4 linked regions of the Arabidopsis thaliana genome follow. The protein of the gene in region 1 purifies or fractionates together with the protein of each later gene. This does not show direct contact. Each region holds a gene or a part of one and is shown in the gene's direction. Other genes may lie near its edges.

Region 1 (6,337 bases):
GTGTGGAGGAAGAGAGCACCGTCGTCCGGGTGATTAACGAGTTCCGTCGCTGAGTCAACGACGGAATCTGAATCCGCAACGGATAGTACAAGGTCCGAGCCAGCGTCAAGCAGCGTAGCGGTGACGTGAGAGATTTTCAGCTTTGAAGCTGCTTCTTGAGCCGGTGCGTTTCCTTCTTTAGAGGTTAACAATAGCTTTGAATCTGAATCGGAGAGGTAAAACTCAAATTCCTCCGCCGTGTACGCTGCGTTCAACGGCGCCGCCGTGGCTCTAGCTCTTATCACCGCTAAAAACATTATAACAAACTGAAAACAAAAAAAAAAAATCAAAACCAAATTCATCCAAAAAAATCATCTGAATCCGGAAATCAAAATTTCTCAATTAAGAAGCGATTTACAGATATTCATAAATTCTGCTTCCCATGTGATTCTTCAGCACGCAAAACAAAACCAGAAACGAAGCTTTTAAATCGAAATATATGAAAACCTCTTAAAATACCTCGACGGTGTTAGGGAAGGTGAGAGCAACGACATCGCCGGGTTTGATTCCAGCGTCGGAGACAAGGCGTGAAGCGGCGCGTTCGATTAGATCGTGAAGACGCGCGTGAGTGAGATTGAATTTTCCAGAAACGGAGAGAGCTCGGCGATCGGGGAATTTTTTGGCGACGTTTTCCAATAATCCTGAGAGAGTATCGCTATCCATGGTTACGTCGGAGAGATAAACACGAGAGTAACGATGATGAGGAAGGAGAGAATGTGAAAGCAGAGAAGAGAGCAAATGCGATATTTATAAATTTATATTCAATTACTACAGTATCTGTGGAAGCAAAAAATGGCTAAAAGATGATGCCACGTGTTATCATCGTAGCGGATTTTCTATTGATCGTGTGGTCATAATGTTTTCATTTTTAATTATTTTGTTAACGGTGGGAGTCGCTGATATATATCCTTACGATTAGACCGACGTTTCGGTTTTTGAAGAGGTGGTTTTTTTAATTTCGATTCCGGTACAAACACTGAACCGAAACGGCTAGTTAATTAACTTTTGAAAATATTTTTTTTCGGCAAGCATGCGATAGTAATTTACGGTTTATGAATTATTTCATAGGAATTTGAAATAGTTTGTGTATGTATTATCAAACAAAAGAATAGTTTCATTAAAAAAATAGCCTATGAGTGTTTAATCACTTTTAGGGCCTTTGCACATGTGTCTTTGACTAGGATTATCACGTTTCGAAGATGCTTGACGTTGTTTATACTTTATATTATAAATAGAAGATAACGTCCTTATTTTGATTGTTAATAAATTAAATTGACCAAGGTAAAAATGTAAAATTAAAATAAGAAATGGTAAAAATGACTTTGAATGATAAGAATAAATATATTATTTATAGAAAAAAAGTAGAAGACTAAATATAATGAGACATATATCTTTTTGAAGTAATCAATTTTGTTTTGTCTATACATACAAATTATTATATTATTTTATTTGGTTTGATACATGCACACTATCTAACTAAACAATAGTGGATTTGGATAATTATTCAACAATGAAACTAATTTAAACCACTAAACATGCGTAGCTTAGAAGAGAGTCAGAGTAGAATTTACTAATCAAAGATTTAGTTTACCTTGTTATTTGTTAAAGATTAAAATTATGTATATGATTATGAATAGAAATACAAAAATCTCGTATAGATGAAAACGACAGTGTTTTAAAATATAAGTCATATTCATGAAGCTGAAAAAGTCATTTTCCATTCTCCTAACTAAGTAAAAACATGGTCTTCATGTAAGCCGTCACATACAAATACAATAGAAGAATTTGGTTTGTGTTTGTTCTTCTTAAGTAGAGCATTGTCATCTGGCCCAATCATTGAAAATTCTCAAGTACATTTCGTTCCATCACTAATTTTTTTTCTTGGGTCAAACCATACATTCAATTTATTAGGGCCTGATAGGCCCAAACTTCTCTAGGCCAACAATTAATAACCTACAATTAGGGATGTTAAAATGGGCTAAATATTTAAGGCCGGCCCGAGTCCTTATAAAAAACAAAAGCCCTAGCCCTGGGTTGGTGTTTTCTTATACTTATATTGGTGGGTTCATGTTAGATTATCGAAATTTTGGATTCGAACGTGTGGATCGCTGGAAAAATTAAACTTTAGGGTCGCTAGATTACGATTGCTTCGCTTTTTAGTAGTAGTAGGCTACAATCGATTGGCAAACATCTCTATATCGGCCATAACTCCGTCAAGCTCTGCAGAGGCTGCTTCATCAGTATTGAGAGACTTCCTGGTGATTGATTCTCATGTCTATGTCTGAGTTTGGCATTGTCTACGCCATCCATATCATCACCGTCCAATTCGGCTCCGTCGTCTCGGTAAATTGAGAAACCCTTCTGAGACTTGTGTTGAATTTATAATCTCTGTATAACGAATTTGGTTTTGGTTGCAGAAAGTTTGTGAATGTCTTCTACGTAAAGGACCTCTTTCCTCACGAGACATCTCTCGTTTAGCTGAATCAGATATCAACCATAACAAAGTTAAAGATATTCTCTATCTCTTGATTCAGCACAATTGTGTTCAAGCTTTCTCCATTGAACCTCCTGGTTAGTCTCTATATTGTTTGATTAGTAGCAACACACAGAAATAGAGAACTCAATGAAAGTAATTTTGTATGTTTTTTTTTTTTACTTTGTAGATGGTTCTGAGAGCAAAGCTATTGTACAGTATATTGTGTTGTTTAACAACATTCTGCATCGTGTGAGGTATAACAAGTTTTCGAGGATTGTAAACGAAGAACTTGACTCCAAGGTTTAATCGTGCTTCTTCTTCTCTCTGTTCAGTGTTTTGATTAGTTGGTTTATGCTTCAAGACTCTAATGCTAATCTTATACTTTTGTTTGATTTATATGTTTAGTGCGGTGCAGTTCTTGATGGTTTACTTAGTAACGGTAGGCTTACCTTGGGACAGTTTATTGAAAGAGATAGAGGTGAGTCGTGATATCATATGTACCTCTTATGTTATGTTACCACAGTTTACACTCGTCATCGTAGGCATTGGCTTTTGGCCTTTGTGTATCTCGTTTTGATTACAGTAATGCTTCGAGCGGAATGGATTCCATGCTGTTATATATGTTTTCTTCATACATGATCAGATTCAGGAAATACGATAGGTTCTGAAGCAATCAGAGATTCTCTTCAGAAATTGGTTGCTGCCCGTTTTGTTGAGCGCATTCCTTCTCCCGAACCTGTTCTTGGAAACAAAGAAAAAGAGCCGGCAAAGAGAAGAGGCGCTAAAGCTGCCAAGGTAATTGATAATTTCTTTCTGGTGTTTGGTATACCTATACATGGTCTGATATATCAGACCTACAAATTGCAGAGACATGACTCTCAGTTTTGATATTATTTCTATTCTGTTCGATATTAATAAATCTCTTGGAACGGTGTAGATTCTTAAAGAACCAGAAACCTTGGAGGAACAAGTTGTTGAAGCAGCAACTCCAGTTGACGCAATAAGGTTTCCACTTATATTCGAAGAAGATTCCAATTCATCTTTAGCAGATGACAATAGCAACATCACTGAGGGGAAGGTATCAACATTCGTACCATAACCAATCTTGTAATCATACATTTTTCAATGATGTAGCTCTGAATACCTTTGTTGATGTTTCTCATTGAACCGAATATTTTAGCGTAAACAACGTGATGTGGACACATCAGATTCGAGCAGTGGAGTAATTTGGCGTCCTAATTTTGAGGAGTTCATCCACCGCCTTAGACATAAGGTTAGTTATCCGTGTTTCTCTTTTGAGGTTGTTTGATGAGGAAAAAAGCTCATTGGCATTTCAAATTTTGCTTTCCGAATGTCTTACTGTTCCAATCTATTAACCACTTGTTTCTTTGTTTAAGGCGTGTGTGGAGATAGTGAAAGAGCGCCGGGATGAAGGATGTGCCATTGTCTTGAGGGCAATGTTAGAAGTAGGAAGATCGCAAGAGAAGAAGGTGAAAACAGACAATTCGGGTAATATTTGAGTTTCTCACTCATTTTCATTCAATATCTTAACATAATCATAATATGCTGAAGTTAAAATTGTATTTGGTGTGAATTATTTTGCACTCTCCACCAAAAGTCCACCTATGAAGTTCTGTTAACTGAATTTGCTATAATCTTTGAAACAGCTCCAATGTCAGTTGGTTCCATTTATGAAGAAGTTATTAAGACAGAAGCAGGTCGCACTATGTTACAAGAGCGAGTTGAAGCATGCCTTGACCAATTGAGTGCTACGTCTTCTTATCTACCAGCATTTGTGAACGAAGTGAATGATTCATACATAGTTGGTATAGTAACTCCATTCAAAATCTAGTCAAATGATTCTTGTATTCAAAATAATATTATTTTGTTATTTGGTTTTGCAGATTATAAATCCATTATCAGCGTAGCACAGAAAGATGAGGTGCGTTTCATATTTTTCTTTTCTTGATATATTTCTGAAACTAAAAACGGTATCTTTGAGATGTTTCCAGATAGAGGCAGTAGTGATGAGAAGATATGGGAAAGAAGCTTTCAGAATGTTCAGATACTTATCACAGGAAGGGCGTTTTGTTGAGACCGATAAGGTTAATGACTGTTCTTTATGATTCATATAGAAACATCTTAAGTCATAATGATTTCTTAACTTCATCATTTTTTTCTCTCTGTAAGATTGCTGATGCCGCGCTGACTGAAAAGAAAGATACACCGCAATTCCTTTTAAAGATGTGGAAAGACGGATACTTACATATGCAGGTATTCACAGTTTGGAAACCAAATCATTATCAAAAGTAAAACGAATTGGTTGTTACGAGATTCATTGTTGTTATCTTCTGTTCATTTTTGTAGAAATTGGCGGTCACAGCTCCGGGTATGTATACACCGTTTCTGTTGTGGAAGGTAAACAAGTTGATTGTGACAACTCAAATGTTGGATGAGATGTACCATGCGTCCCTTAACTTGAGTCTTAGGTTGGCCCATGAGTTAGAAGCCGAAAAAGAGGTTAGTCACACTGCAAATCGATTAACCCAAATGTGTTTCAAGATGGTCCAGATACTAAAAAAACTGTTATTGCTTTTGTGGCAGTTGCTGTTGTTGCCATTAGATAAACTGGAAGGACCATTAAAGGAGAGACTGAAAAAGGTCAAAGCCAAGAGGCTGTTACTCTCTTCCACTATGTTTAAACTTGATGATGCCATTATGCTTTTTCATGACTTTTAAACTCATACATTCAAAAACTAATTTCTTTTGGTCGATTTAGTTCACATTGTCTTCTAGCATTTTTTTTTTTTTTTTTGACATAATGAGAAGTTGTAACTTTGAAGGTAATTGATACTGTTTCGAGAGAAATGTTGTTTATTATATACTTCAGATTAAGTTTTCAAACTCTTAATCTCTATCAGAAAACCTTCTTTTCCTTTACTATGGTCTATGGCTGATGAGCTTTGGGATGAATTGCAAAATCGGGTTTTGGTGATACAGAGTCTAATGAAGCCTAATAGTCGTCCAAGTCTGAGTTTGAAAAAAAAAAAAAAAAAAAAAAAAAAAAAAAAAAGAGTCGTTTAAGTCTGATTGCCTGACCTCTCAATCCTTCAGTGCAACAGCTTCAGACAGTTCATGGAAAAGTGTTCTCTTCTATCTGTCCAAAGGAGAGATCGATGGGTTTTCAATAATCCGGAAGATATGAAATAATATTGATGTAAACATCATAGACATGTTGAGAACTCTCAATCTCAGAATTCTGACATCTCTTTCCCAACCTCCCCTGCCTGATACTCCTCCACTCAACTATGAGCAAATAGCAGTTGGCTACTCCCCTTCAATATGTTCAATCTTCTATACAAAGGTTTCTTTACTCAGGTTGCTGCACCAATCCCACAAGTCAACAAGGAAGAATTACTCCAAACCATGAACATGAAGTTAAATCTACCCCTAGTAAGTTTGAAATTGCAGAGTTATAAAGGAAGCAACCAGAAGCGTCAATTGTGACCATAAGGAATCATGATTACAAAAGACAGCGTAAGGTTGGAAGATGATAACGGGTTGAACTGCTCAAATGCAGACGAACTGCTATGTCTATTTTGCAGGTTAAAGAGATGCTTTTCGATTGTGTCAATTTAGGCTTAAATTTTTAGACTATAGAGAAAAAAACATACGAAATAAGAGGAAACTATAGCAAGTAGAGATGTGAGATACGGTCTTTTCCATAAATCAAGAGAAGCAAGGTAGCAGCAAAATCAAAGATTTAAGGATAAAAACTGATGAAAGAAAAGACAGTCTGATACACAAAATTCAGTTCCAAAA
Region 2 (5,128 bases), on another chromosome or scaffold:
TGCAAACGAAGCCAAAAGAGCGTGCAAGATACGAGAGCGACGCGTCTAAGTAAACGCGTTTGCAACAAAACTGCTGTTCTCTTCACGTTACTACTACTTCTACTACATTCCATTTTCAATTCGACAACACATAGTTATAAGAATTTTTCATCTTTTGTCTCTATTATCTAATGAACAAACTCACAAGGTTTCTTTTCAAAAGTAACTACTTAAATCTTTAAAATAGCCTCCACAGGATACGAAACTACATTAAAATATAACTCTATAATCAATAACTATTTGTCTTTATCAAAGATACGTAAGAGGAAAAGATGCCTGGGATTTTGGTGATTTATTATTTTATTTTTGTGTATAATTTGTAAGAATTTGGATGCACTAACGACTTCTAATTAAGATTCATTGAATATATAACGCTCATAGTAACTCAGGAATTTCACATTAAAACAAAATAAGAGAATGAGTTTGGTACCTGCCATGGGTTCACAAATTTCTTGCAAGACTGCAGAAAAAAAAAGAAACAAAGAAACAAAAGAAGAAGCAAAAAAATGTTGAATAAACCAAAAAGATGATGTTTATATAACAAACCAAAATATATATTGAAATGTGTAAGAAAATATAAGTACATGTAATTTGAGATTTAAGAAAGGGTGGAAAGCATGAGGAGCTTTAAAGGCAATGAGAGGAGCCTTGCCAAATTGGGGTTTTTAAAAAAGGCAGTTAGTTAGCTTAGCTTACATGTTTCAAGTGCTTTTTTCTCCAAAGCAAGAATCATGTGTCCTAATTCCTTTAATTTGCTTAAAACTGAATTGATTTTTATTCTTAAGAAATAAGAGTTAGGTTTGTATTGGTATATTTGTCGTTCATCGAGACGCCGCATAAAAAATGATACAATATATAAAAATTGATTTTCAAAAAGTTTACAAGACTCTTCTTAAACATACAAAATTTTGACATATATTTTAAACAAAAAACTAGATTTTAACCCGCGGTATACCGCGGGACGATTTATTTTTTAAAGGTAATATATATTAAAACTTGCAAATTGTATTATAATAATATATATATATATATATTTTACAGTTTACAATTGTTATTAAGAAAGCTATACCACGAGTCCATGAGACAATTGTTAAAAAACTGAAGTTTTAACTCTTATTAAAACATCATATTAATAATATTTTAAATTTTTATAAATATTGATTCAAATACATCCACCATATAACTCTATTCCAAAATAAAACCCGTTCTGTAATTTCTTTACTCGTCCCGTGATTTTTTTTTGAAAGTAGTAATTTTTAAAATATTAAGAATTATTTATTATATATAAAAGTTTGCAAATTATGACCCAATACTCAGTAGAAAATTGTCTTAAATCTATTTTTGACCCGTTATAGTATTTTTCATGTCTTGAACAGTTTATATTCGTTTTTAAAAATTCAAATTATGGCATATGCGAAAAAAATCTAATTATTTTTTATAACGATGATATTATTTTTTCGCAAAAATATAATCATATAAAGATAAGAGGTGAACTATAATAATTAATAAAAAATTAATATGATAATTTAGATATCAAATCTAATTTGTTGATTTTAATTGGTTACTTTTTAAAAAAATTAATAATGTATTTCGTTTTTTAATTAAATTTAATTAATTAAATTAGTATTTAACTTTTTAATATTTAAAGAGATGAATTAATTTACTCTTTAAATTTTATTTCTAATGGCATACCTATGTAATTACTTACAAAAAATAAGATTACATTTAAAATGTACTTCCCAAATAATATAGTAGGATTATGATTATTTCACCTTAGTTATTTATGAAGTTACTTCTTAGAAAGATTTCAAACTATTTATGTTACATGTAAGTTTTTTTTTAAAATCATATTTTTCGGAAATTATAACATATTTTTTGCAAAGTGTAAATGCAAACGCACAGACAACAAGTCAAGCGTTTGGCATAGTTTAAAAATAACTAAGCAAACGCTAAACACACAACAATTCAAGCATTGGGACATGTATTTGGGCTTATAACCCATCAAGCTGAAGAGGGCCGTGGATGCAATAACACATAAATGTTCTTTATGGGATAAACAGGCCCAGCTTAAGTTTATTTTTTGGTCTCTAGGGTTTTACTTTTGACAATAACGACGTCGTTCTACCGATTCATTCACCGCCACCGTCTGGAGCAAATCGTGGTCTCAATCTCCGTCTGAATCATACCTCGAAGGAGCTCCTCTAATTAGGGATGTTAATATGGGCTTATAATTTAGGGCCGGCCCGAGTCTGTTAAAAGATATAAGCCCTAACCCTAATAAAAGATTTTAGGTTAAGATAGGGCTATACTTAAATTGTTACGGGCTAAAATAGGGTTGGCCCTATTACACTTTTTTAATTATTCTTTATTCCATTTTTTTTATCTTTCTTTCTTCTTCTTTCTCCCAAACGCTCTTCTTCTTCGATCTCTTTTTTTTTTTTTTTATTACTTCTCTGAAGCCATAAGAGTTGAAGAATTCAAAGGATTGATCTGACTATAAACAGAAACTTCCAGAGCTTGGTGAAGGAGCAGCCACCCTAACTTTTCAATCCCTAAAGGTGAAGTTTTTGTTCTTCTTTTTCTTTGATTCTACTCTTTTTTTTGTCACCATAGCGAAATAGCGATCTGGGTTGGCGTTTTTATCGACGGATTTTGGTGGGTTCGTGTTAGATTTTGGTGGGTTTGAGTTGGTGTTAGATTTTGGTGGGTTTGGGTTCGTATTAGATTTTACTTTTACAGATTCATGTATGTGTTTGATCTTAATTAGTAGCTTTGGTAATACTCAAATCCAACTAGTAATTGATCTTAATTACGTGACGTTGATATTTTGTGTGTTGTGAGTCAATCAGCGAGCTACTTCTAGTATTTGAACTAATCCTTTCCGTCAAAGAAGAGAAGGTACTTATTTTCTTCCCTTAAATTGGTCATTATTTTTGATCGAATCCAAGGGTTTCACTTTAAGCTTTGATTCATATTAAGGTGCTTAGTACTGAACGTGACCTAAATATTTTCGATTTAGAAACGTTATTGATGTTGATGTTCCCATTGCATCATGATTTGTGGGAACGAGAATCATCTGTTCCTTGATGTTGATGTTCCCATTGAATTTTTCAGGAGCAAAAACTCTGATTTTGGAGCATCGTTAGTGTTGTTCTCTTCCCATATTGTTAAAACGACTTCGTTTGGTTGAAGAAAAAGCTTCCTGTGGTTGAAGTCTCTCTGCTCAACCTAAGAGATGAAAATGTATCATCCATCTTCCATTGTGTTTTTGTTCGATTCCTTCTCTATTTTTGTAGTTAAAATTTGGTGTGGTTGTTGCAGAGTCAAGGCAAATGCAGGAGCACTGACCAATTTCGAAGTGCTTGACTTTCTTAACTCGAGAGGTGCATCAAAAGATACTACAAGAGTTATAGCTCCAATTGCTAGATCAGAATACAAGGTTCTCTTGCCTGCAATATCTCTCTTCTGATTTGGTCTTAAGAGTGCACTTTTGTTGCTAATTGGAATGATCTTTATAGGTCTATGATTATTTGGTGGAGACTGCTGCTTCCACTCAAACACGAGAGAGCATTAACAAATTCGCAGACAAGTGTAAAGATTTCAAACTCGCTAAAGCTGAGATTCTCAATATCATCAATCTCCGGCCTTCTTCTATAGTCGAACTGTTACCGGTTTGTTTGTTGTTTCTAGCTTATACACTACCATTTCTATCACTGCATTTAATTTCTCTTCTTCATGGTTTATAACATTTGTTGATTGTGACTCTCTTGTAGATCATAGAGAACCTGGATGATCGAGAAATCGACACTGATGGGATATTAGAGCTTGTGAAGGATTTGTTACCTCCTCTGCCTACAACTGCAAGTCCTAAAGATGATGATGAAGAAGAAACAGAGAATGGTGAACAGTCGTGACGTGCTAATGAAGTTGTTGAGTTTATGTTTTGATTTTGTAACCATCCTCTTAAACGCTTATTAACTAGATTGAGTTTGTTATCTTTTAAGTTAAGAAGATAATCGATCGAACAATTTACGTCCATTCATTAACAAAGAAAAAAAAAACAGGTCCATACTAAATGATTTAAACTTTAAAATATAGAGGTACGACCCACAAAAGTGTAGAGGAATATGTTCTATAATTATACTAAAGGAGAATAATACAACTTATTTAATATACTTTTCTTGTCGAATATTATTTCAAATTTCGTTGGATAAGCATAAGGTTTGACATCTTGATATTGAGCAAAAATAGGTATCTCAACCTTTATGAAAGCATATGTAATCCATTCCATTGTTTCACTGAGCTATAATGATAAATATATGGTAGAAATATTCAAATTCCGCATACATATGGTTGAGTTGAAGCATAATCAGAATAACATTCAAGAAGAAATACATAGACAGAATTTTGAATATAATACTCTTGTAGTGTTTGTGATCTCAATTAGACATGGTTTATGTTCATTAGTGTGCTGGTTCAGTCGTGATCCCGGTAAAGGAAGATCATTTTCTTTGATCAGTTGGTTTGGAAGTGATTTATTTCGGTTTGGGTAAAACCAAGTTGTTAGGAAGTTTTAAATTTTTGTTTTCTGATATGCTTCTTTTAGTATCCAATTTTCCTGTTTGTACAAATTTACATATAATCCTTAAGAGTATGTAACTTAAACTTACATCAACTCCATTTTACATATACTTCATTTTTTCCAAATATCACAATATTATAGGACTAGACTGAAAATCTCATGATGTTGTGAATCATAACTTATGATGATGTAATGACAAGTAATGAGTGATGCAATAGAACAAAGATACGCGGGACAGATATACTTTTGTTAACTTTAAAAAGTGGGTCTCACTAAATAGAGATATATAGGTGCCAAAGAAATTGTCTTTGTCACGCTTAGCTTATCTTGTGTAATTTATTCTTTCTCACACCATTTTCGATGCCCTTTTATTCCTCTTTCCTTTCTTCTTTTTATAAGTTCTATTTTAAAAGAAAAAACCATGTGAACCAACTATGAAGTATTCTCCCTAGATCCTTACAATCTTCAGTTTCCCACTTGTCCCATATAGTTATGAAGCTTTCCCTT
Region 3 (5,823 bases), on another chromosome or scaffold:
GGAAGGTCTGGTTCGGGCAAACATTCGAAAAGACCAAGAAGACTCGGATAAACAATTAAAAAAATCAGATATTGGAGAAGGCAAATATATATTGGTGTTGAGGTCAAGACTTAGAGTTTTGACGTTATTTAAAAAAAAATATTTTTGGGTAAAGACTAAAGAGTTTGACGCTATCTTGAGGTTTATTTATTCAACGTAGACTATATACTATGGGGCCGTTCTGAATTGGACCTTTTAAGTTTTGATTTTATTAAAACGCCATGTTGTTTAGTCGAGAGATAAACAAAAGACGTGTCTCTAGCTAAGCTGACCTTCATATATGCTTTGACATAATACATTAATTATAATCTCTCTTTTTGGTGTGTGTAAAAAATACACTCTATATTTTATTATGTAGACACACTACATGCAGAAGTGTTCTTACCTCTGCCTCTACGTGCTGTCAACTCCTACAGATCTTCAAGTACCCCAACCGTTATCTAACAGATTAAATATAATATACCCCTAACTATATTATATATCACAATTGTTCAAACCAGTGTATATAGACTAGACGATTCCTTGAACCATATAATTCCAGCTTTACTATAAGAGTCTTAAGGACAGGGGCAAGTGAGTCGAGAAACGAAACCGAATATAAGTCTTGTATGATATAGTCATATAGTTAACCGTCGTCATATATTAAAGAAGAAAATGGCAACCACCGGTCGGAGACTCCGTCCTCCATCGCCCAATAATAACCGGAGCCGGACTATAAGCTCTTCAATCTCTCTCCCAGTGTCCTTAAACGCCTCGTTATCGTCTTCTACTTCTTCATCTTCTTCCTCTTCGCCTTCCAATTCAAGCAAACGAGTGATGATAACCAGATCACAGTCCACAACAAGATCCTCCAGACCCATCGGATCATCCGACTCTAAATCCGGCGAGAACATAATCCCGGCGAGAAACAGCGCATCAAGATCTCAAGAGATAAACAACGGTAGAAGCAGAGAGTCGTTTGCTCGGTACTTGGAGCAACGTACGCGTGGTAGTCCTCGTAGTAACGCTTCATCGAGAGGGGTAAAGCCGGGAGCCAGCTCACCATCGGCGTGGGCGTTGTCTCCTGGAAGACTTTCGACTATGAAGACGCCTCTGTCCAGCTCAGCTCCGACGACTTCAATGTGCATGACGCCGCCTGAGTCACCCGTAAGCAAGGCCAAGATAAGAAGCGGTGGCGGTGGAGCGGTGGCAGGAGTTTTGAAGTACTTCATGGCGCAGAAGAAAGTATCTCCGGTACAAGAGGAGGATTATCACCGGTTTAGGATTTTTCAAAACAGATTACTTCAATGGAGGTTTGTTAACGCAAGAACTGAAGCCACTATGGCAAACCTTAAGATCAACGTTGAGGTACAAAAACTATATGAAAAATATTTAAATTTGTATCTTATAAATATCTATTAATTTGTTTCTGTGAATGGTTTCAGGATCAGTTGTTTTGGGTTTGGCTTAGGATATACAAAATGAGGAACTACGTTGTAGAAAATTTGATTGAAATTCAAAGGCTCCGTCAAGATATCAAAGTACGTGAAGTTCTCAGCCTCCAAATGCCTTTACTTAATGAGTGGTCAAAAATAGACGCAAAAAACTCCGAAGCGTTGAGCAAGCTAACTCGAAAACTCCATGCTTTGTCTGTCCGATTACCCCTCGTACATGGTGCCACGGTTAGAATTTCTCTCTTTGGGAAACCAATTTGTTTATAAACATTTTGTGTATTTGTCAAGAAAGCAGAAACTAATAATTTGGAAGTTACAGATAGATATGGTGTCGATACATGAAGAAATGGTCATAGCTATAGAAGTCATGGACGAGATCGAAGACGTCATCATCAAGTTTCTCCCACGAGTAAGTCCACTTTATCTATACAGATCATTTTCCTAACTTTTTTTGTATAGATACATGTAAAAGAAATTAATTTAAGAATGTCTTGGGTGATTAAATATCAGCAGGTTGAAATAATCCTCTATGAGCTGACAGAATTGATCGGCATGTTCAATCAAGAATTGTTATATTTTGAAGAAATGGACGAGAGCCTTTTATCCATTCCTCTCTTCACGGTAATTCATTATCTCCTAATTTCATTATATATATGTGACCGGTCCGGTAGTTTTATCTATAACTTGAATGGTTTGTTTTTTATTGGTTCAATTTGGATGTGGAAGCTCCATAGGCTAAAATGGTGAGATAATTTTCTTTTAACAGGCAAAGGAGAGTAGCTTGAGGGTCCATATTCTCCAAAAGACTGAAGAACAGAGATAATGTTTCTCTAATAACTCAAACGTTAGGACATGTAATTAAAATGTTAATCACATTGCACATTTTGCAAACTGGATTGTTGTTGATGCCAGAACTCGCTATCTAATTCAAGACGCAGTCTTCTACTTCTAGATATATACGATTGAAGCCATGTGTTAATGTGTATTACAAATTTCGTTATGCAATTTCTACATACACCTTAATGAAAATATACTTATACAAAAAATTAGACATGAAATCTAAAAATGTCTATCCAATCACATATACACACGTAGAAGTGTTTACTTCTCACAAAGAATGTATAAAAATAATAATTGTAATTTCCAAAGCTATAAATATAAAGATTGACTTAACTTACTAAAAGCGCTATTAAGTCATTTGGTTATCCAGCTATTCAGTACTACAGAGGTCTCGGGTTCGAAGCCATCTTTTTCCTAAATCCCCAATTTTTTTTTTTTCCCTCGTTTCCGAATCTTTTACCGGCGAGACTCTGCCATGGATTCAGGCGAACAAAAGTCTAAGGTAAACCTCTACTGATTCTATCTTCTTGTTCTCCTTCCTAATTTCATCTCAAATCTCGAAAAATTTGCCGCGAAAATTGCGTTTCACTGACCTTACTCCGTTCCATTTCTCGTCAGCGGAGGTTCCAACCAAATCCTCCGAGGCCTTCTCGCCGTCTTCCGATCGCTCCAACCTCAAACACGTAATTCGTTCTTCCTCGATCATTTCTTGTTTATGCTTGTAGAAATCTTTAACTGCTTATACATGTAAAAGCTTTAAATTTTCTCTAAACACAGCGAAGCTGAGGAGGATGAAGAGAATATAAAAGCATCTCGCCAATTTGACAGACGTATCGTCGGCGTATGTAGAGAAGCTTCTCAGTTCTCAAATCTTGCTCTCTAGTTTCTTTCCTTATTTAATTTTGTCGAAAATTCGTTAACAGTTTAATCGTAACTTCCCTAATTTCACTTAAAATAATCAAAATCTTATACATTAGATTATGATATATGCGAAATACCAAAACGGTGTGCTTTCTTCATCGTAGCTAACAAGGAATTTTCTTTTTGGTTCTGACCTTTACTAGTTTTGAATCTGCCTCATCTCCTTTGCTAGCTTTTGTTGATCGCATCAATTTAACTGCCTTGTTAAGTGACTATGAAATGAGTTGGTCCAGGACCCCTAACATGTTCATTGTAGCTTATACTGGCTTAGTTCTTATCTCTATTACTTAATCCAAATGCTCAATGTTGAAAACTAAACTTTTTTGTGTTGTTGTTATTGCTGACTGGCCAGAGGAGACCCAAAACCGAAACGAAAGGTATGTTGAAAGTTATATGTGTATTCGCTCGCATTCTTCATTTTAACGAGTTGTGTTTGATCTAATTTCTGTAAATGAGTTATTAGAAAACCATGTGTGTGGAAGGTGATAGTATTAAATATCGTTCTTGAAAAGCTTTTGAAATCTTGCAGCTTCTTCTCCTGAAGTTGCATTCCAACCAAGCTTGTCACCACTTGCAATAAGGTCCTTTGGTGTTCCTAAAGAAGATGACAAGCCCAATTCTGATGTTAATCCGTCTTCTCCTGCTAGTATTCTTCCTGCTGTTTCGTCTGTTACTGCTGCCCAAGAAGATGGAGAAGAGGTTCATAATTTTGTTACAAGAACTGGGGATGACTACGTTGAACCTTGGGTAACTAGAATCTTCAGATAGAAAAAGATTTTCCCTCCCATTTTCTCTTATGTTGGTTTATGTGACATAAGGTTTGGCTCATTTTATGTGCCAGGATTATAGAAACTCCTACTATCCTACTGTTCTTCCTTTGAGAAAGCCTAACTCTGGTGATATAGGTATGCTTGTTCCCGGCTTTGCAATAGCTTTACGCCGACTATTCAGATGTGTGAATGTGTTTGCTCTGTAAAATGCCTGCATTTTTCCCCTCTTTCTGTAAACTGAATCTTACTTCTTGTGTTGTTAGAACTTCTTGACCAGGAGGAATTTGGGGAGGTGGCTAAAAACCGTGATTATGATGAGAACACCATCAACTCCGCAGAAGAACTCGGTCTGACATCGGTAATAAACTTGTAAAGAAACTGGTATTGAAGACATGTGAACTCTTCACTGAGTTTGACTGATTGTATTTTATGAGCTGCATGCAGGTGCAACACAGCAAAAAACAGATGTTTATCTTTAAGATCCCAGACTGTCTCCCTGTAGTGAAGCAAACGACAGGAGCAACCACCAAGAGATCGGTACGGGAGTATAGTTCAGGGATAAGCAACCCTTTTGAAGGTTTACCAGAGGGATTCATGGGCAAAATGCTGGTTTACAAGAGCGGTGCTGTCAAGTTGAAAGTTGGAGATGCCCTCTTTGATGTAAGTCATTTTCGTCTCATCATTATTATATGTGAACCCACATATCTGAAACTGTGTTGGAATTCACCTCCGCTTGTAGCTTTTCTTCATCTCTTTTAACTCTCGGTCCTATGCATATATGCAGGTCTCGCCAGGTCCAGGTACAAAAATCCCTAATGATGTGGTAGCAATAGACATCAAAGGGAGGAACTGCAGTCGCATTGGTTCTTCAGCGAAGTTTGTTACTGTTACTCCCGATGTTGAGTCTCTTTTGAACCCTGCTTCAGACATGGAAACACAGAAGTGAAGGTTGCTCTGGAAATAGCCGGTCCTGTTCATACAAGGATGTGAAAAAGCGTAGTATTGACCACTTAGATTCTGTATCTACAAACTAATCTTCAACTATGATCGTAAAAAAACTCTTCTTGCCTCCTTGGTGTCTTCTTTTGTAATAAGAGATTCAGTAGTTGTTGGGATAAAAGAAAATGCTCAACATTTTGACACATTCAGAGTGTTCTTATTATCGAAATCTACTAAAATGTCAACAATGGAGTACAGAACCAAAGTAGTATCAAACAAACCACAATATGACCTGAAACAAAAGCTAAACAAGCAGCATGATGAAGACCAAATGTATTGTCGGCTAATTTGAAACGATCAAGACTAGTTGCAGGCTCGGGATACCATCACGACCAGCATAACGATGATGGATAGCAGGACCGAAGTGGTCAGCTTTTCCTCGAGCCAATTGTTGAATTTGGCATCTTTCCCCTTGTTGTTAACACCATCACCATTGTAACAATTGAAGAGCTCGGTCACGACCTTTGTTATTTTCACAAACACTTCCGTGGCCTTAACCATTGTGTTGTCAAATACCCACTTTATGAAATCCGTTGCTGCGTTATTCTCCCTAGGGGTGTCTTCTGAATTTTCCTCATCTGTAATACAAAAACTGAGTCCCCTGAGAAGTCTGTCAAATGAAATGTTTAGATTGATCAATTCATTATCTCTTTATACCTTGACTTATGCCATTGTTGTACAAGTCCCTAATCTCTCGCACCACATCGTTGTTCATCACCGCCTCCCAAACTGCTTTGTCAGACGACAATGATACTACCATTTTCTGCATTAAAATGTGAAAAAGCCCTTTCTTCATGTACCAAAAAGTAAACATGAGCTTA
Region 4 (5,004 bases), on another chromosome or scaffold:
TTGTAATTATGCCTTTTTGATGATAATATTAAAGAAAGCTTGTAACAAGATACTAATATAAAGCTCCTAACAAGATCTGGAAAATTTTGAAAGTGGTAAGAAAAGGAGGTCCGAAGTCGGAATTGGAGGAGGAAGTTTAGACTTTAGATTACATGCCTAGGGAAATCTATCACACACATGCAATCAAACACATGGTTAATTTCTAGCCACTAGTGTAACTTTAAATCTTAACTTCCTTTCTAATTTGGTATAAAACCGATCACACACGATTAGTAAAAGATAAATTTAGATTTAACTGTAATAGTTTTATAAATTCTAGGCATGGGCGTTTGGGTATTCGGATTGGATTTTTTGGGTTCGGGTTTTTACGGATTTAGAAATCTAAAACCCGTCTGGGTATTTTAAGACTTCAAGTTCGGATCGGGTTTTTTGGGTTCGGATTTCCGGTTTTCGGGTTTAAAAGTGTAGGATGCGTTGGAATATTTTAAAATTTCGGGTTTAGATTCGGATTGGTTTTTTTGGGTCAGGTCCGGTTCGGTTTTTCGTGTTTTTTGGATCGGATTCGGTTGGGTCTTCGAGTAGTAGTAATAAATTAAACCATTACTACTACTACTCATAAGAGGTTAAACAAAGATTAAATTTTCAACTCATAATTCCTAACAATTTATAAAACCATAACGCACAACATAAACGCAGTTGTTAATTCTAGGAGAGAAAAAAACAGATTCGTAAGCTAATTTGAAGATAAAATAATCTGTTTTTAAGTAAAATAAACAGATTAGTAAGTAATAGCAAATCCAATGATTAGTTTCTAAGTAAAGTTTCTATGTATTTTTTATTAATAAATTTGGATAGTTTAGTAGTTTAGAGATTTTTTAGAGTTTTTGAAAATTTTATTGACCATTGATGGAATCCTTAAGTGGGTTTCTAAAACAAAAAAAAATTGAAAAAGGGAAAAACTGAATCTACATGAGAATAACTGTTGCTGGATAAGCTTAAAGGAAGAGAGAACATCTTTAATCATTGTTTGCATATGCCATTGGCTTGACATCCGGGTGAGGCTGTATAATCAACAATATCAGAAAATTAGAAGAGTTTTCGAATGAGTTCAATATCAAAAAGTAAGAAACAGGAGGGAGATGAATATTACCATGATCAACTCGGTTTCAACAGATGTATATAATCAACTTGGCTTGGTGAAGCTCCATACAGTTTTCTTTGTTGTTCTTGTCTCCTTATGTTACATCGTTGATAGTTAATATTATTCTGCAGTACACTCCAGCTATCGACGTTTGGAGCATTGGCTGCATCTTTGCAGAGGTACTAACATGGAAGCCATTGTTTCCGGGAAAAAGTGTTGTCCATCAGTTGGAGTTGATTACTGATCTTCTTGGCACACCAAAATCAGATGCAATTTCTGGAGTATGATCCGTTTTTATTCTTCACATTAATTTCTGGAGTACGTATATATATTGAACTGTATAGCTAAACATTTATTTCTCTGATGCAGGTTCGTAATGATAAAGCTAGAAAATACTTGACTGAAATGAGGAAGAAAAATCATGTCACCTTCTCGCAAAAATTCTCTAAAGCAGATCCATTAGCACTCCGTCTTTTGCAGAGGCTGTTGGCTTTCGATCGACCGACTCCTACAGAGGTCTCTATTCTGTCTTTTTCACTTTGTAATTAGATTCTTAGAACCTCAGATCCAATGCCCACGATCTTCTCTCCCTTTCATCTGTTACAACAATCTCACGGCATTTCCTTTCAAGACCAACTGAACTTGTTAGATCTTGTGAAAGATAACCTTTTGATTTTATTTCAACAAGTTCTCTCCCAAACTGAACCACAATAGGATCTAAACCAAGTACGCAACTTTAGAAACAGCATTTCATTGATTAGTGATTAGAACCACAATTATTAGCATATATATTGGTATAGTGAGTGATTAAACCAGAGTATGCAATAAAAAGTTTAAGCACCAGGCATCATTGTGTAGATTCGAAGCCGTGACAAGGGCCACAAAACAAGAGTTGAAATCACCTGCAGAAAAAGAGATAAGGAATAAGATAAATTTGATAGCGATTCAAAGACAAAACTTGGGAGACTCAAACAAGAGTAATACGAAGAGAAGCTTACCCAACCAGGCGTAAGAATTGGTTTGCAAGCTGGAAGCTCCTGCTGTGTAAATTTCGAATATGAAGATCAATCAACTTTTAGCTATAGCATTCTCGATTCCTAGCTAAGACTTCCAATCGATTTTGTGGCGTCGAAATTTTCAATCGATTTTGTGTCTCCGTCGGCGACACAAGAGGAAAAGAGAGAAGAAGAAAAGAATAAACGCGAGAAGCTTTTTTTTTTGGTTTTGTCAATAAGTTAACCCAATAAAAAGATGCCACGTATGGGTCGCGAAAAACCCAATTTTAGGAACGTTTCTAACTGAATTGTTGTGTTTTTTGTTCAACTGGGCCCATTTCAGGTTAAAAACCCACCATAAAAATCTACTAAAAACCCTTAGTGGACTTGCTCTAAGGCCCATCGAGAAAATTTGCGCTTACTAATCTGTTTTTTTTTTCAAGAAATACCCATCTAAAGGTTAATATTTACGAAATCCGCCACTGCTCTAAAGACTGTAATCTTCCTTCTTGGTCCTGCAGATCCATGTATGAAACTTCCCCTGAACCCTAATTTAGCTATTCGAATTTCGATGTTCACTTCTAAATCCTCGATTCGTCTCTGAATAACTCCATCGTAATCGAACTGATTTCAAGACGGTTCGTTTCTTTTTCCTCTTATCCCAGATTTCTTATTCTTCTCCTCTCGCCGCCACAGTTTTCGAAGGTGAATTTGTGTCCATGTCTTGGAAAGGAGCCCGAGGAAAACCAAAAGGCTATGGCGGCGATTATGGCAAGCCTGAGCCTTTTGTGATTTTCCCTGAAATTACGTTACCAGATCCAAAATCAATCTCAACAGACTCGCAATTAGTTCAAAGCTACTTTACTTTCAATAAGTTTTGGAGGAATTCTCCTTATCACTTAGGCGATGGTGGTGTTTCTAAGAAAGGTATCAACTTTATACTTTTGTCTTTGTAATCTCTGCTTAAAGCTAAAAGCTTTTTCTTTTCTTTTTTACAATCATCAGAGAAAGAGAGTTTGAACATTGAGAGGTACTCAGATTCGTTGAAGCCGAAGATGAAGTCTAATAAGAATGGATCTTTCTTTGATTTTCTTGTTCTTAGACCTGATAACTTCCCTAAAGAACTTCTTGGAGGTTTGTTTTTGTTTCCACCATCTCAATACTCTTTAGATGTGTTTAGTTTCATCTTGCTGATTATCATTTGGATTATGCGATTTCAGATACTCGAAGAGAACAACGGCCTGTGAAGAGAGCTAAATGGAGTCAAGAAGCTGGTACATTGTCTTTATTATTAGTTTTTGTTTTCAACAATGTAACGAGAAGTTTAAGTTCTGTGTTTTTGTTTCATAGATTTGCAGAAATTGGATGTGTTTGAGAAGCTTGAAGCTAAGTTTAAGGTAACTAGTGAAACTTTTAACGGTTCAATGGTTTTTTAAGAGCACTTGACAGTAATGTGTTTTGGATTATGTTTGGTTAGGTTGAAGGCAAGGAAGAGAAAGAAGAAGGGGAAGATGATGAAGAAGTTGTGGAATCAGAAGGAGAAGAATCTGATAACGGAGATTATGATCAGGTTTTTGCTTATTTTTCAGATTAATGTTTGAATTGATACCTTGTGTGATTCTTCTTCTTCTTCTCAAGTTACTTAACAACTTTGTTCTTGAATGTTTTTTTGTAGAATCAAGACTTTGATGATGATGACGACGATTATAATAACGAGGATGATGGATGTAAGAGTCATCATCTTTATTCTAAGATTGCATCCTTTAAACTTTAAAAATGATTCTAGCTAACTTTGTTTCTCTCTTTTCTTGCCAGTAGTTGAAGAGGTGTATTAAGCTGCTTCTCCTTTTTCCCAAAACAATCAAGTTTTGCAGTCAAGAGAAGCTAAGCCTGTCCCAAGCTTTAGTTTTATTTAAAAACTCTCAAGGCATTTATTTGTTTTGTTCCCTTGGTTCTTATCATATTGGAACCATCCCCTCGAACTGAAGAATATGAAATTCATGTTCAAGCGTACAAATTTCTGTTTGGTTGAAAATCACAGAGCTTTACGTTCTTCACTCAAGAATTTCACTAATCTTCCATAAAGTTAGTAACCACTGAGCTTTAGTGTCGTACATTTCGCACAAGATGTCTATTTGATTCGACTAATATTCAATTTAGACAAATTCTTCAAGCTAACAAAGCAAATCAAACTTTGTCCTCCCAATGCTTTACACTTCTTGTATTGCTGCATTAATTCCAGCTGAAACCATTAAAATCATTCTGGAAGCGTTGTTGCATAGTTTTCATCATGTGTTAAGAACGTAACGCTGTTCGGTTACGTGTGTTGAGCAAGCGATCTTCACCATTCTTGTTGAAACTTAGTTGTGTATATTTTTCACTGTTGTGATGATCTTGACCAATCTCGTTGAATCTTTGAGGTGTATATTATTAACTGTTGTGATACTACCTCCTGTGTTCATGTAATCCAACTTCTATTGTAGCCTGTTATTATTATTGTGTTATCCCATGATATCCACGAGGCTTCATGTTTTTACTTTTACAGAAGTACACAGAATCTTCTTATACAAGAGTTTTATCAATTGATAGTGCAGTTACTACTAATCAAACCCATTTTATATTATCTTCGTCTCTTAAACATCATTCCTTTTGCTACATTTTGTTTCTTGAAACTATTTGGCTAATTCAAGTGAAAGCTTTGGCAAACAATAATGTGTCTTGGTTCCTAATTACAATGATACATATACATTGGCTCCTAATTCCTGTCCAAATCAAAGTAATCTAGAGAAAACTACTAGAGCCTAATCAGAAGATTAAAACAAAAAACAATAAAACTAAACTTGAAAGAACAATTCAGTAGATATTCGA

What was found.
Region 2: the proteins of AT3G49000 (region 1) and AT5G62950 fractionate together in Arabidopsis thaliana (co-fractionation; one large-scale study listed by BioGRID). This does not show direct contact.
Region 3: the proteins of AT3G49000 (region 1) and AT4G25180 fractionate together in Arabidopsis thaliana (co-fractionation; one large-scale study listed by BioGRID). This does not show direct contact.
Region 4: the proteins of AT3G49000 (region 1) and AT4G01590 fractionate together in Arabidopsis thaliana (co-fractionation; one large-scale study listed by BioGRID). This does not show direct contact.

The regions. Positions count from the first base shown.
Region 1 is NC_003074.8:18,160,593-18,166,929, forward strand, and holds AT3G49000 (RNA polymerase III subunit RPC82 family protein), read left to right. Parts: upstream 1-1,967; 5' UTR 1,968-2,310; coding exon 2,311-2,382; intron 2,383-2,456; coding exon 2,457-2,610; intron 2,611-2,702; coding exon 2,703-2,815; intron 2,816-2,920; coding exon 2,921-2,993; intron 2,994-3,158; coding exon 3,159-3,310; intron 3,311-3,452; coding exon 3,453-3,593; intron 3,594-3,695; coding exon 3,696-3,788; intron 3,789-3,912; coding exon 3,913-4,024; intron 4,025-4,182; coding exon 4,183-4,341; intron 4,342-4,419; coding exon 4,420-4,457; intron 4,458-4,527; coding exon 4,528-4,620; intron 4,621-4,705; coding exon 4,706-4,789; intron 4,790-4,882; coding exon 4,883-5,035; intron 5,036-5,119; coding exon 5,120-5,254; 3' UTR 5,255-5,394; downstream 5,395-6,337. Other genes in the region: AAE3 (AMP-dependent synthetase and ligase family protein), read right to left, coding at 1-305, 499-702.
Region 2 is NC_003076.8:25,261,180-25,266,307, reverse strand, and holds AT5G62950 (RNA polymerase II, Rpb4, core protein), read left to right. Parts: upstream 1-2,254; 5' UTR 2,255-2,937; exon of another isoform or gene 2,938-3,153; 5' UTR 3,154-3,274; coding exon 3,275-3,282; intron 3,283-3,360; coding exon 3,361-3,478; intron 3,479-3,557; coding exon 3,558-3,710; coding exon of another isoform or gene 3,711-3,785; exon of another isoform or gene 3,786-3,812; coding exon 3,813-3,953; 3' UTR 3,954-4,129; downstream 4,130-5,128.
Region 3 is NC_003075.7:12,910,872-12,916,694, reverse strand, and holds AT4G25180 (RNA polymerase III RPC4), read left to right. Parts: upstream 1-2,655; 5' UTR 2,656-2,787; coding exon 2,788-2,814; intron 2,815-2,930; coding exon 2,931-2,995; intron 2,996-3,089; coding exon 3,090-3,153; intron 3,154-3,195; exon of another isoform or gene 3,196-3,396; intron 3,397-3,585; coding exon 3,586-3,610; intron 3,611-3,762; coding exon 3,763-3,980; intron 3,981-4,074; coding exon 4,075-4,138; intron 4,139-4,266; coding exon 4,267-4,361; intron 4,362-4,447; coding exon 4,448-4,663; intron 4,664-4,787; coding exon 4,788-4,949; 3' UTR 4,950-5,145; downstream 5,146-5,823. Other genes in the region: QWRF7 (QWRF motif protein (DUF566)), read left to right, coding at 694-1,386, 1,464-1,700, 1,792-1,881, 1,983-2,093, 2,239-2,295; AT4G25170 (Uncharacterized conserved protein (UCP012943)), read right to left, coding at 5,306-5,580, 5,660-5,765.
Region 4 is NC_003075.7:688,044-693,047, reverse strand, and holds AT4G01590 (DNA-directed RNA polymerase III subunit), read left to right. Parts: upstream 1-2,605; 5' UTR 2,606-2,663; exon of another isoform or gene 2,664-2,801; 5' UTR 2,802-2,855; coding exon 2,856-3,063; intron 3,064-3,141; coding exon 3,142-3,270; intron 3,271-3,356; coding exon 3,357-3,410; intron 3,411-3,486; coding exon 3,487-3,533; intron 3,534-3,613; coding exon 3,614-3,706; intron 3,707-3,811; coding exon 3,812-3,863; intron 3,864-3,951; coding exon 3,952-3,971; 3' UTR 3,972-4,235; downstream 4,236-5,004. Other genes in the region: AT4G01595 (Protein kinase superfamily protein), read left to right, coding at 1,140-1,196, 1,273-1,422, 1,511-1,657, 2,000-2,068.